Rattus norvegicus: one gene and its partners. The protein of the gene in region 1 interacts with the protein of each later gene in a pairwise test. Links are inferred from orthologs where the notes say so. Each region holds a gene or a part of one and is shown in the gene's direction. Other genes may lie near its edges. The genes, in order: Wdr4, Fam118a and Rabggtb.

Region 1 (4,198 bases):
AATGGACGTTCATGCCTGTGTGAGGGCATGGTGACCGGGGAGGGGGTGGGGGTGGTGGTGGTGGTGGTGGTGGTGGTGGTGGTGCCTTAGCATTAGATCATTGCTCTCTGTAGCCTGGCAAAGGGCTTCCATTTCTCCTTGCTATGATGTTTGATAAACTCAAGACCTGGCTTCTCTGATACAATTTAACTTCACCCATTATTTATCTTAATTACATTTGTAGGCGGTGGTCTCATTTGCACAAGTGATTTTTTAGTTGTTTGTTTATTTTTTTTTTTCTTTTTTCTTTTTTTTTTCAGAGCTGGGGACTGAACCCAGGGCCTTGCGCTTGCTAGGCAAGCGCTCTACCACTGAGCTAAATCCCCAACCCCTTGTTCATTTATTTATTATTTATTTATGTAAAGACAGGGTTTCTCTGTCTAGCCCGGGCCATTCTGGAACTCAATGTGTAGACCAGGCTGGCCTCAAGAGATCTGCCTGCTTCTGCCTCCCAAGTGCTGGGATTAAAGACTTGTGCCGCCACCTCCCAGCTTCCAGAAGTAGTTCTCATCAATCCATGCTGTTAGACAGATGTTGTGTAACTTGCTCAAGTAAAAACGAAGAGCTGTTCTGACTCAGTTTGAGGTAAAAATGGAGCCAACAACGGCTGCTTTATAAGATGGATTCACCGGGGTTGGGGATTTAGCTCAGTGGTAGAGCGCTTGCCTAGCAAGCGCAAGGCCCTGGGTTCGGTCCCCAGCTCCGAAAAAAAGAAAAGAAAAAAAAAAAAAAAAAAAAAAAGATGGATTCGCCCGGAGAACCTCCCAGCCTAGAGATAGCAATTGTACACAGTATAATAAGTGTGACTTTGAAATAGGTTTCGGGTGTGTTGGGTGGGTGGAGCAGATGAACCGTCTCTTTATGAGCTGTCTTGGGGGGGTCTACACCCAACCAAAAGAGACCACAGCATTCTGGACGTCGTGAGTCACTGGGATGGATGGAACGAGTCTTTTGGTGATCTGGGGAGGCACACCGTTCGATACACACGTGTGACAGTTGGGGTCCAAGACGTCTTTGTCTTTCATAAGGACCGTAAGTAGCACATTTCCAGCGATTTGTAATCACACATGGTCACATATTGGGCCTGGCCATCCAGTACTAATGTCACGCAGGTTTTTTTTTTTTTTTAAAACGGCACAAACTGAGTACCAGGCTCTGTCCAAGAGGAACCACCTAACCTGACGGGCGGAAAAGTCAATCAACGCGAAAGGCACGCGGGGAATCTATAGCATCAGCACCTCCGAGGTATTCAAATGCGACCTCTCCCTGTGCGCATGCTCCTGCCCCGCACGCCATTCGCGCGGTGCCGGGTGACGTCACTGGCCGGCGCCACCAGGAAGGGCGCTGAGCGTCGCACGTGTGCGGAGGCGGCGGACGGGCCCATGGCGAGCTCTGCGGGCCTGGCACTGTGCGCCCAGACGCTGGTGGTGCGAGGAGGCAGCCGGTTCCTAGCCTTCTCCACCGCGAGCAGGTAAGAGGCTCGTGCTGAGGGCGGCGAGGCCGGAGCGGCCATGTTCCGTGTCTTCCCGGATTCCTCGGCGCCCCTTCACCCGGACCTATAGCCCCATAATCTGCACGGCAGGTCCGGGGCGCGCTCTCGGTTTAGAGTAGGGGCACTTCCGGACTTTGTGGCGCCTGCGCGGCGTCGGGAGGGCTAAGTCACGTGGGTGTCTCATTGCCCAGGCTTCTGGGGGGTCCTGGCTTCAATCCTGACCCGTTTGGAATCTTCCTGTTGAGAATCATGTATTAGGGAACCCTGCAGGTTCTTACTGAGCGCAAAACGTGCTCCTTCTCCCTCATCTGCGTCCAGCAACCCGGCTTTTGTTGCCCTTCGAGTTTTTTTTTTTCGGAGATGGGGACCGAACTCAGGGCCTTGCGCTTCCTAGGCAAGCGCTCTACCACTGAGCTAAATCCCCAACCCCCTTCGAGGTTTTTAACCCGACACCTTCCAAACCCAGGATGCTTGCGGAGCCTGAAGTGGGCATCTCCCTAAAGGCCCTTCACATGACATAACGTTTTGCTTTGTTATTTCTGTCCTTATGTATACGTCGTGTTCGGTGATAGTATTCTTTGAGCAAGTAGTTGATTACCACCAACCTAGAGAATCAGTGGCAGTCCGTGTCGGCTTTTTTCCCCCCTATCCCGTTTAGCTTCGGTACTTAGATGTTTGAAGATTAGGAATTGTTCCTCAGTTTGTGCCTTTTGGGGAATGCCCAACAAAGTTTCGGACTTGGAAGATGATTTCTCTTTCTGCGGTTAAGTGTTTAACTGGAAAAGTCTTTGATAAAGCCGCTTTATGGGTTGTCAATAGTACCAGATGCTTTAATGTGCTAGGTTACAGGTCAGAGCAAAAGAAGGGAGCTTAAGTTCTGATTTGGAATGTGATTCTCATCTGAGTAAGGGCCAGAGGCTCATGGGGGCAGGTGAGACTTGTTTCTGAATTATGTAAGGACAACCTCAGCGGTTTTAAATTTGAGAGCAAAGCTGAGTTGAAAACAATTATCAGAGGGCTGGAGAGATGGCTCATAGGTTAAGAGAGCTGGCTGTTCTTCCAGAGGTCCTGAGTTCAACTCCTAGCAACCATATGGTGGCTTATAACCATGGATAACGAGATCTGGTGCCCTCTTCTGGTATGCAGGCATGCATGCAGGAAGAACATTACATATATAATAAATAATTTTTTAAAAAGAAAATATCAGAATGGGTGGGTGGCCGGGGGGGAGGGGAGTGGGGGAACTGGGGTTCGCTAGTGGACACCTTTGATCCCAGCACTCAGGCAGAGGCAGGTGGATATCCCAAGTTTGAGGCCAGCCTGGTCTACAGAGTGAGTTCCAAGACAGCCAGGGCTACACAGATAAACCACCACCATAACAAAAAACCATATCAGAACATAATTTAGAATTAACAGGTTGGTGGCTGGAAGAAGACTGCATTGATTCCAGGCTTGCACCGCCATGCCACACTGAACTGATTTAGAACAGGACCGTGCCGACTGTTCATGATGTATGCTGACAGGTTAAGCAGTGGCAGTCCTTGGCTCTTCTCTGTCATGGATAAGACCCATGATGTAATGACAGTGATGTGTTTTTGTTCCCAGGGTAAGATGCAGTAATCATGTGTGTTTGTTAATAACTGCTCATGCCTATCTCTTCCCTTTAGCGACGATGACTGCCTCTTCTCGTATGACTGCAGCACTGCCGAGAAGAAGTCCGTGCAGGAAGATAAAGGGTGAGATGGTGGGGAAGCATGGTCGCTTGTGGTTTGAGCGCTGAGACCGGTGAGCCTGCTGAAGTCCTGGCTCCTGTTCCCTTGTTGTGCATTCCAGTTCAGAAAGAAACATGGAAGCAACTTGGACTGTGGGCATTCAGACTATGTGGGACCTTCCCGGGGAACTTTTAGGTTCTTTTGTTTTAATTTCTTTAGTACTCATTTTTGTTACTGGCTCCTTAAAGTAAGAGTGACCGTTTCAAACGAAATGCACTGAGGGCAGGTGTGGGGAGTTAACTAATTGAAAGGTAAGAAGCAGCGTGTGACTGTTTTGTGTGGTGGCCTGGACTTGTGACTCAGTGTGTCATGAATTTTATCAACCCCTGCTTCTAGCCTTGGATTAGTCCATGTCTATGAGGGCTAGGCCACGTGATCGCTGAGAGTCCTTCCAGCCCACACTGGATATTAATTAGCATTTGTGTTAGGTTTCATGCTTGGGTCCCCTTAATCTCTCATCATGCTCTGGCTGCACGAAGTGCCTGACCACGCGCCTTCTACTTACCTGTGTTAGAATGGACAAGCCCGGCAACTCACACGAGGCCTAATTGTTTTCCCTTTCTTCCCCTGCCCTTTCAGGGAGGACGGACAGCCCGCAGACAGGGGGAGTGACACGATTCTGGCGTCCACCTTCTCCAAGTCTGGCCGCTATTTTGCTTTAACTGATGACAGTAAGCGTCTGATTCTTTTCCGTACAAAACCATGGCAATGTCTGAGTGTCAGGTATGAAATGCTAACACCGAGTCATTAAGATGTCCTATGCACTCCTAGTACTTGCATGTCAGTAGCCATAGTGACAGTAACCACTGTAATCAGCAGCTAACATGACGTACCAGCCATGAGTGAGACACTGATCGCAGAGCTTTACGAGTATTAACTGAGTCCTAACAGCATG
Region 2 (3,535 bases), on another chromosome or scaffold:
GCATTGTCAGTGATCTACTGTGTTGGCTTGAAAGTGGGGCTTCTGCTTCACAGCTTTATGAAGATGATCAGTTCCTCTTCTGTACTCAGTCACCTTTTGAACTCTGATGATGAAATGTTTTTAAAATTTGTATATTTTAAAGTATACACTGTGGGAGTGTATGCATGTGAGTACAGGTGCCCGTGGAGGCATCAGATCCCCTAGAGCTAGAGGTGATAAGCCAGCTGACATTGGTGCTGGGAACAAAAGTCAGGACTCCTGTAAGAGCAGTACATGCTCTTAACCACTGACTGAGCCATCTCTCCAGCCCTTCTGATGAACATGTACTTAGTGTTGGATGTCAAGGGATTAAAAAAAAAAACAAGGCAGTCTAGTTACTGCAGAGCTCATTCATAATATAGGTAGGATTTCTTATTCTAGGCACAAAATACTCTGCTAAGACTCTGCTGAAGGTTTTAGATAAAAAGGATAGTAACTGTTTTGAGATCTGCTTTTGGCGTGAATTTACATTTAGAAAATACTGGTAGATTTTTATGAAAAAATGTGTTGCTATGATGACTTGGTTTTGAGTCTGGAAACTAGTGACGACATGGTCACCTAGGAAACAGAAAGCTGCAGCATCTGAGAGGCCTCTGAAGGGTTTTGTTGCTGTAGTCTGGAATCTGATTGGCTTAAAAGAGTGGCCTTTGAGAAGGGACTGGTAAATCAGAGATAGACTGGCCTCCAAAAACTTGCCAGTAGAGGTCAGGCTAGGAAAATCTCTCACTTGGGCCTTGGTTTATAAACAAAGGGGAGATTTTGGACAATCTCTGGATAATTATATGAGATCTGGCTCTGATCTTTTGGCTGCTGAAAAACAGGAAATGAGGTAATGTCTTTAAGCATGTAGTGTTTATAAAGAACTATAAATGGCTAAATATGGGCAGCTATTCAGTTCATCACCACATGGGTCCTGAGAGGAAGTCTTGTGCGTCCCCTGCTGGCTGCTTTGATCTCTTGAGGTCCTCAGCAGCTTAAAAGCCCAGACAGAGGCCCCTCTTCATTATGGTGGGAACCCTTGTAATATTGGGGCTGGCTGCAGAGACTCTCCAGATCCCTCAACTCATGCTGAGGCAGGGCAGAACAGGGACCAGCCACAGCATGCCTGTGCAGGCCAGAGCTCCCTTCTGTTCTGTGTCTCTGGGTCTCTTGGAGAACTGAAATCACTTGCTTTTGTGTTACTTTGTAGAGGTTGAAGTACACATTTTGGATTTTAACTGATACCTACAGGTGTATGGTGAGTGAAAAGCAGTTGAACAGGAGGAAGGAATTAGAAACTTTAAAAATCTTTTATGTGGTAAAGGTTGAGGCTGTGTCATTTCTAGGGCACACAGACTGCCAGTGGCTGAAGTCAGCTATAAAGTGCTGGTTAGAGCAGGCTAAGATGAAGGGCTCTCCCCCAGACAGGAAGGCATAACCACTCTGAAGATACGGAGTGTGCTCAAGTTAAGTTCAAACAGGAAATGCAGCAGGATAGCTCAGTGTTCTGTCTTTCGGGGTCCTGACACTTGGTTTCAGCTTTGGGACACAGCCCCACTGCCTGGCCCAGCAGTTTGGTTTGCAGAGTACTTGCTCTCCAAAGAGGACTGAGCTTGGAAGTTTGGCCAGTTAGCAGGAATCCATGCTTTACAGTTCGTAGCAGAATAGATAAATATGTGGGCTCATTGGACACTTGGGGTGGGATCCATGGGGCTTCTATTTGCAGTGGAGGGGTTATATGAAATAGAATAGTCATAACTTGCCTTAGAAAATTTCCAATAGATTACAAAGCCAAAATAGACTTGATTTTATATGGTAACTGTAGTGATGTAGGAGGCCACACTCCCTGCCCTTCTGTCCCTTGGGCAGGTGGCATCCTCCACCAGCTTCAGGTTTTGATCCATGAACTGGTTTCTTAGCACCGAGGAAAGGTCATGGACCCTCAGAGATTTTGGTGGAAGCTGTGAGTGTACCCTCAAAGGCGGGAGGGTGAATGTGTGCAAATGTTTTCATGGGTGACTACAGGATACCATTTTCTCAAGACTGAAGGTATGATTTAGAGATCTGTTGAGCTGTGTGGTCTCTCCTAGAGTTATTTTTGGTGACCTAATTCTAATTCAAGAGGAATAAAGATTTGAGTGTGAACACAGGTTTTCAGTCCTGTGTGACATTGACTTTTAGTTTTGAGTAGTTTCTAACAACACAGGGGAACTAAAACTAGGACATGTACTTGGCTCTCAAATGACATGAAAAATATTAAAAAGCTGGGTGGAAAAGGGGGAAATGGCACTATAATTCTCAGTGATAGTAGTTGTAGGCCTTCACACCAGGTTCTCTGCCTATTTCCTTGTATAATAAATACTAGCTCTAGAATTCAGGGAGACTTCTAGATGGTTTTGTCTTAAAGAGACATTTCCAGGGTAAAAGCACACTACCTGGAGCCAGTTCACCAGAGTTGCTCCATCTGGCTGTTGTGTGAATGTTTTTGTTTCTATCTTCAGAAGACACTCAAGACCTGACCTGGGAAGCTAGGCAAGGTTAGTGGCCACAGAGGAACCACTTGTGTAGGACTTTTTCTGGATGGCACTTTCTGGGTATTTTAAAGGGGAGTCAGGACCTTTGACTCAGTTTCATCCTCTACAGTTTTCCGAGCACTCATCAAACATCTTTCTTCTCTTTAGGATTCACAGATGGAGTCAGTGGAAAAGACAACGAACAGAAGTGAACAGAAATGCAGGTAAGTAAGTAGCTAGTTCCTTGTAGAGGGTTCTTGACTTCACATCACATTGGGGACATGTAGCACTGCCCCCAGCAGTAGGGAGACTGGGAAGGGGACCCATGGCTGCTCACCATGGTTTGCTCCAACACAAGAAACATTCCAGAAAGTAGCTTTCTGCTCCAAGAAGCTACCCGAGCCCCCATCTCCAGTCCAAGCAACATGGAACTGGGGGCTGGGGTGGGGTGGAGAAGGGCTACAGGACTGTGCATGGACAACAGGTCTCACTTACTGGAAAATGATGCAGAGTGAACTGCTGAACCTGGAGAATGCAGTGGGCTTTAGGAGGCCCACTTAGAAATTCTCTTGCCTGTAACCACACAAGATCACTCTGTTCCTTACAGTGCTGATTTACCAGCTATTTGCAGTGTCAGAGGAGGAGAGGGCTGAACTTTTTGTTCATAGTCACCTGTAAATTATTTATCACTGTAGACTGCAGGGACTTTGCTTTCTGGTAGTGAACAGAAAGGCAAATTTGTGACCTGAATGTTCTAGATATTTCCAGACTGGAATCTCCATACTTCCAAGCTTACAGTTGGCTTCCTTCTTCCTTGTTCTTAAATAGAAAGTTTTTAAAGAGCCTCATTAGGAAGCAACCCCAGGACCTGCTCTTGGTCATTGGGACCGGCGTGAGCGCAGCGGTGGCCCCAGGTATCCGGGCTCTCTGCTCTTGGAGGAGCTGCATCGAGGCCGTCATCGAGGCTGCAGAGCAGCTGGAGGTTCTGCACCCTGGGGACGTGG
Region 3 (4,183 bases), on another chromosome or scaffold:
CTGGGGCTGCCTGTATGACCATGGGGTTGGAGCAGTCCACCGATGCCTGGTCAGCTTACCAGCAGGCACACGTCTGAATAATGACTCCCCATTTCCCAGTGTGTGTCTGTACCCATTAGGTCAGCAGAGAGGGGCAGGGCCCCTGAGTCCCTTCCTCATCCGTGACTGTCCGTCAGGGTCATTTGTGTGAAGCTCAGTGCAGATAAACACAGTGGCTCTGAGTTCAAGGCTGCAGTGGTTGTCATGCTCAGAAGATGGCTTCTGGGCCTTTTCCTATTATCTTCTCTTATATTCTTTCTGCTGCCCTCTTTTATGATAGTCACTAGGCTTTTAGAGGTCATCCCTCAACTAATGTATTCTCCAGATAACCTTGGGCAGTCGTGAATCTCTGTATTCACTGTCGTCCCCTGCATAGAAAGGCTTATCTGATTTGGGCTGAGAGTAGCGTTTTCTACGGGCATAAGCATAGATATTCAGAAGGCAGTCAACAAACAAACTTCAAAATGAGAAGCTTGGCACACAATTTGTATTTTATGACTACAGCATTTTTCAGTTTAGACTGGCCACATTCAAATCCCTGACGTGGCTGTATCTGACATCTTGGCTTTGGAGAGATAGAAGAATTTATAGACCTGTTTTATTGCAGCAACAGTTCTTTGGGGTCGGGAGGCATATTTTAGTCTTTGAAGAGGCAAAGTGGACTGGGGAGATAGCATGCCTAGCATTTTCAGTTGTGAGTTCAAGGCTTGGGGCTTTTAAAATAAATATTAAAAGTTAGAGTTAAACCATACAAATTTACCAATACAGAGTGGAAAAACTAGCCTTATTCTAGCGGTTTCTGGAATCAAACCCAAGCATCCATTTTCACATGGTATTTTTCCATAGTAATATATGTGGCAATATATTTTTCATTAGCTGGGTAACAGACACACTAAAATTGATCAATTTTATGGGGAGTAGGTAGGGACCTCTAGCTCAGGATGGCTTCCAAGTGCCTACACGGCCGATGATTTGGACCACTGATCCTCCTGCCACCACTTTTCCACTGCTAAGATAATAGGTCTGCACTAACACTTCGGGTTTATACGCAAAGGTTGAAATCAACCCCCGGCCTCTTTGAGTGCTAGGAAAGCTCTTTACAAACTGAGTGACATGGGGTCCTTCAGGCAGACGCATAGCCTGCTGCACCGTGACCGCGGAGTCCTTCAGGCAGGAGTGCGGCCGGCTAAATCGTGACCGCGGGGTCCTTCGGGCGGAGCGTGGCCGGCTAGGTAGGGCGTGGGCTGCCGGGCGGGCGCCTGTGCGCAGGCGCGCAGACCCTGACTTTCCGTGCTCCCGCGCTCTTCAGTCTTTCGGCGGTCGGACATGGTGAGAGCGACATCGCTTTGGTGCGCGGAAGTTGGGGAGGCCTGGGCGGTGGGTCAAGCTGCTCCGCATCGTGGGCTGGCGCAGCACGGGGAGCGGGCGGGCATGCAAGGCTAGCATTCTTCTTGCATTCTTCTTGTGAGCTCTCAGCAATGCTCCTGCCTCGGCCTTCTGAGGCCGGTCTTAGACCGCTCCTTGAGCAATGGCTCAGCGTTTTCTGCAGTTCTCGAGGGTTGTGATGTTATCCGCGGCCCGTAGGCGAGCCTCTCTGGATTGAGCCGCCTTTTTTTTTTTTCCCTTTGCATCGGAGACTTGTGTGTGCCTGTTTTTTTCAGGGTTCAATGATCATTTACGAATATTGTTTCAAAGTTAAATATTCTAATTGGGATGGAAGAAGGCCGGCCTTGGCCCACGCCTTTTAATCGTATCACTCCTGAAGCAGTAGCAGGCAGCCTGGTCTACACGGGGAGTTCCAGACCACACAGGGCTTCATAGCCGAGACTCTGAACAAAATAGAAAAATAACTTATTTGGCAGTGGATTTGCTTTGACCTACTTAATGGGTGATGGCGAATATCTTAGATCCGAAGGTGAAATTTGGAGCTAATGGGCCTGATCGTTTAGTAAAGGAGATAATATTTGAGGACTGTTGAACAGTGCACTGAAGCTTCAAATTCACCGATCGAGAGTGTGTATTGCACTTGGTCGGCAAAAAGGTGAGCGGCAGAATTCGGGTCAATGATGAGCTGGCATGTATTCTGAATCTAAAGTTGATTAATAACCACTTTAGCTCTAGAATTACTCTGAGACCCGAAAAAAAAAGTGCCGTCATCTGGTCATACGAGTCTGGGCTGTCAAGTTTTCAGGATGTCGAAAGGAAAACGTAATGATCCAGTCTCTGTTTTTCTTCGAAGGGCACACAGCAGAAGGACGTCACCATCAAGTCAGATGCGCCTGACACCCTGCTGCTCGAGAAGCATGCTGATTATATCGCCTCGTACGGCTCAAAGAAAGATGATTATGTGTGTATGAGTTTCTTGTTAGTTTAATACTAATGGACAGGCCTGTTTCTTAAAGCGTTGTCTGTTGGCAGAGGCCTGATTTAAAGTCCATTAGGATAGATGGGCCTGGTATACTAGAGGTTGATACTGGATAGCATTAGCCTTGCATACCGGTACACAAAGGGCCAGAATACAGGGATGCAGGTAGAAGGGGTTTACTCCTTTCTGTCTGGGGTATAACCTTGAAGGTCAATGATGTGTTGGCATGTATTATCTGAATTTGCTGATGTGTCCTAACATTTGAGCTCTAGAATTACGCTGAGACCTTGAAAAGGTTTTACCTAAACAGTATAATAGGGAGGTTACCACACCCCTGTGATAATCTCCAGCAAGGGGTAGAGCTGGAAACCCCGGGCTTTGTGGGGAGACCCTCTCCAAAGAGGAATCACATGGGTAATCAGACCCTTATTTTGGGAGGGGGGGAATCATAGGCCTAAATGGTCCTTATGTCAACTGTCCGCCTGGCCCTTTAGGCGTTTGGTTTGGCTTGGCAGCACACCAATGACACCTGTACCTGAGTGAACGCTTGTGAAATGATGCTTGATTTGGTTTCCATCTCCAGCACCATTTATCTCTCCGTATTCATAGACCTTGTAAAATGCAGTAATTGGTGTTTGGTAGACTGAAGGAGTGAATGTTGCCTACTAAATTCACCTGAAGTTGGCACTTGGAAACTATTAAAGTTTGTTCTCAATCTTCCTGATGCTGCAACCCTGTCGTACCATACAGTTCTGCATGTTGTGGTGAGCCCCAACCATAAGATAGTTTCATTAGTTCAAGACTTAATTTTGCTGTAATGTCGGACCCAAAGGGGTGAGAACCGATGCTCTTAAAGTTGTTCACAGCTGACCTAGGTAAAGGTGGGTTTTGTAGTCAAGAGTGACAAATTTAAGACACTTCTCCCAGGAATACTGCATGTCCGAATACTTGAGAATGAGCGGCGTCTACTGGGGCCTGACAGTGATGGACCTCATGGGGCAGCTTCATCGGATGAATAAAGAGGAGATACTGGTGTTTATCAAGTCGTGCCAGCATGAGTGTGGGGGAGTCAGTGCCAGCATCGGGCACGACCCCCACCTTCTCTACACGCTCAGTGCTGTCCAGGTAAGCCCTTGTGAAACATTGACCCTATGTGACGACCCAAATGTTAATTGCCCGCCTTTAGAGTGAATTCTCTCCTACAGGTCAGTGATGTCATGGCATGTATTAGCTGAATGCTAACTTGATGCAAGTTACAAATGGCACTGAGACCTGGGAGGGTAAAATGCATCTGTGTCAGTCCAGGTTAGAGTTGGTTTTAGTGAGGAGCGAGAGGGCGGGTAAAGCCTACCTCTGTCAAATTATCAAAGGAATAAGAAATTGTAATGAAATGAGTAACAGCCGGCGCGTGTGAGCCATTTATAGTAATGGGGAAGGGCATGGTGGTTGGCCCAGGACAAATTCCTGCGATGCTTGTCTTTCAGATTCTCACTCTGTATGATAGCATCCATGTAATCAACGTAGACAAAGTGGTAGCCTATGTTCAGAGTCTACAGAAAGAAGATGGTTCCTTTGCTGGAGACATCTGGGGTAAGATCGGCTTTCACTTTTTTTAGTCAAGCTACTCCACTCGGAGCATCTTTTGTCTTGGTGTAGTAATCATAAGATTTCAAGTTGTTCATCTTTTCAGGTCCCACTAAGCAGTTGGTCTAACTGGAGTAAAATGGCCTGCTGGAAGTCCCAGCATGCCCCGTGCTGGCTTGTCAGCACGCCACACTA

Evidence for each region.
Region 2: the proteins of Wdr4 (region 1) and Fam118a interact in binary tests that used the Homo sapiens proteins (3 or more experiments, as listed by UniProt). The two-hybrid records come from large-scale screens. The link is inferred for Rattus norvegicus from reciprocal best matches to the Homo sapiens genes WDR4 and FAM118A.
Region 3: the proteins of Wdr4 (region 1) and Rabggtb interact in binary tests that used the Homo sapiens proteins (3 or more experiments, as listed by UniProt). The two-hybrid records come from large-scale screens. The link is inferred for Rattus norvegicus from reciprocal best matches to the Homo sapiens genes WDR4 and RABGGTB.

The regions. Positions count from the first base shown.
Region 1 is NC_086038.1:9,601,903-9,606,100, reverse strand, and holds the start of Wdr4 (tRNA (guanine-N(7)-)-methyltransferase non-catalytic subunit WDR4), read left to right. Parts: upstream 1-1,382; 5' UTR 1,383-1,421; coding exon 1,422-1,510; intron 1,511-3,198; coding exon 3,199-3,267; intron 3,268-3,882; coding exon 3,883-4,026; intron 4,027-4,198. UniProt on the Homo sapiens protein: Non-catalytic component of the METTL1-WDR4 methyltransferase complex required for the formation of N(7)-methylguanine in a subset of RNA species, such as tRNAs, mRNAs and microRNAs (miRNAs).
Region 2 is NC_086025.1:118,038,857-118,042,391, forward strand, and holds part of Fam118a (protein FAM118A), read left to right. Parts: intron 1-2,699; coding exon of another isoform or gene 2,700-2,708; coding exon 2,709-2,755; intron 2,756-3,359; coding exon 3,360-3,535.
Region 3 is NC_086020.1:245,507,946-245,512,128, reverse strand, and holds the start of Rabggtb (geranylgeranyl transferase type-2 subunit beta), read left to right. Parts: upstream 1-1,349; 5' UTR 1,350-1,365; coding exon 1,366-1,368; exon of another isoform or gene 1,369-1,388; intron 1,389-2,097; exon of another isoform or gene 2,098-2,177; intron 2,178-2,278; coding exon 2,279-2,386; intron 2,387-2,612; exon of another isoform or gene 2,613-2,693; intron 2,694-3,331; coding exon 3,332-3,529; intron 3,530-3,608; exon of another isoform or gene 3,609-3,679; intron 3,680-3,888; coding exon 3,889-3,994; intron 3,995-4,106; exon of another isoform or gene 4,107-4,183. UniProt on the Homo sapiens protein: Catalyzes the transfer of a geranylgeranyl moiety from geranylgeranyl diphosphate to both cysteines of Rab proteins with the C-terminal sequence -XXCC, -XCXC and -CCXX, such as RAB1A, RAB3A, RAB5A and RAB7A.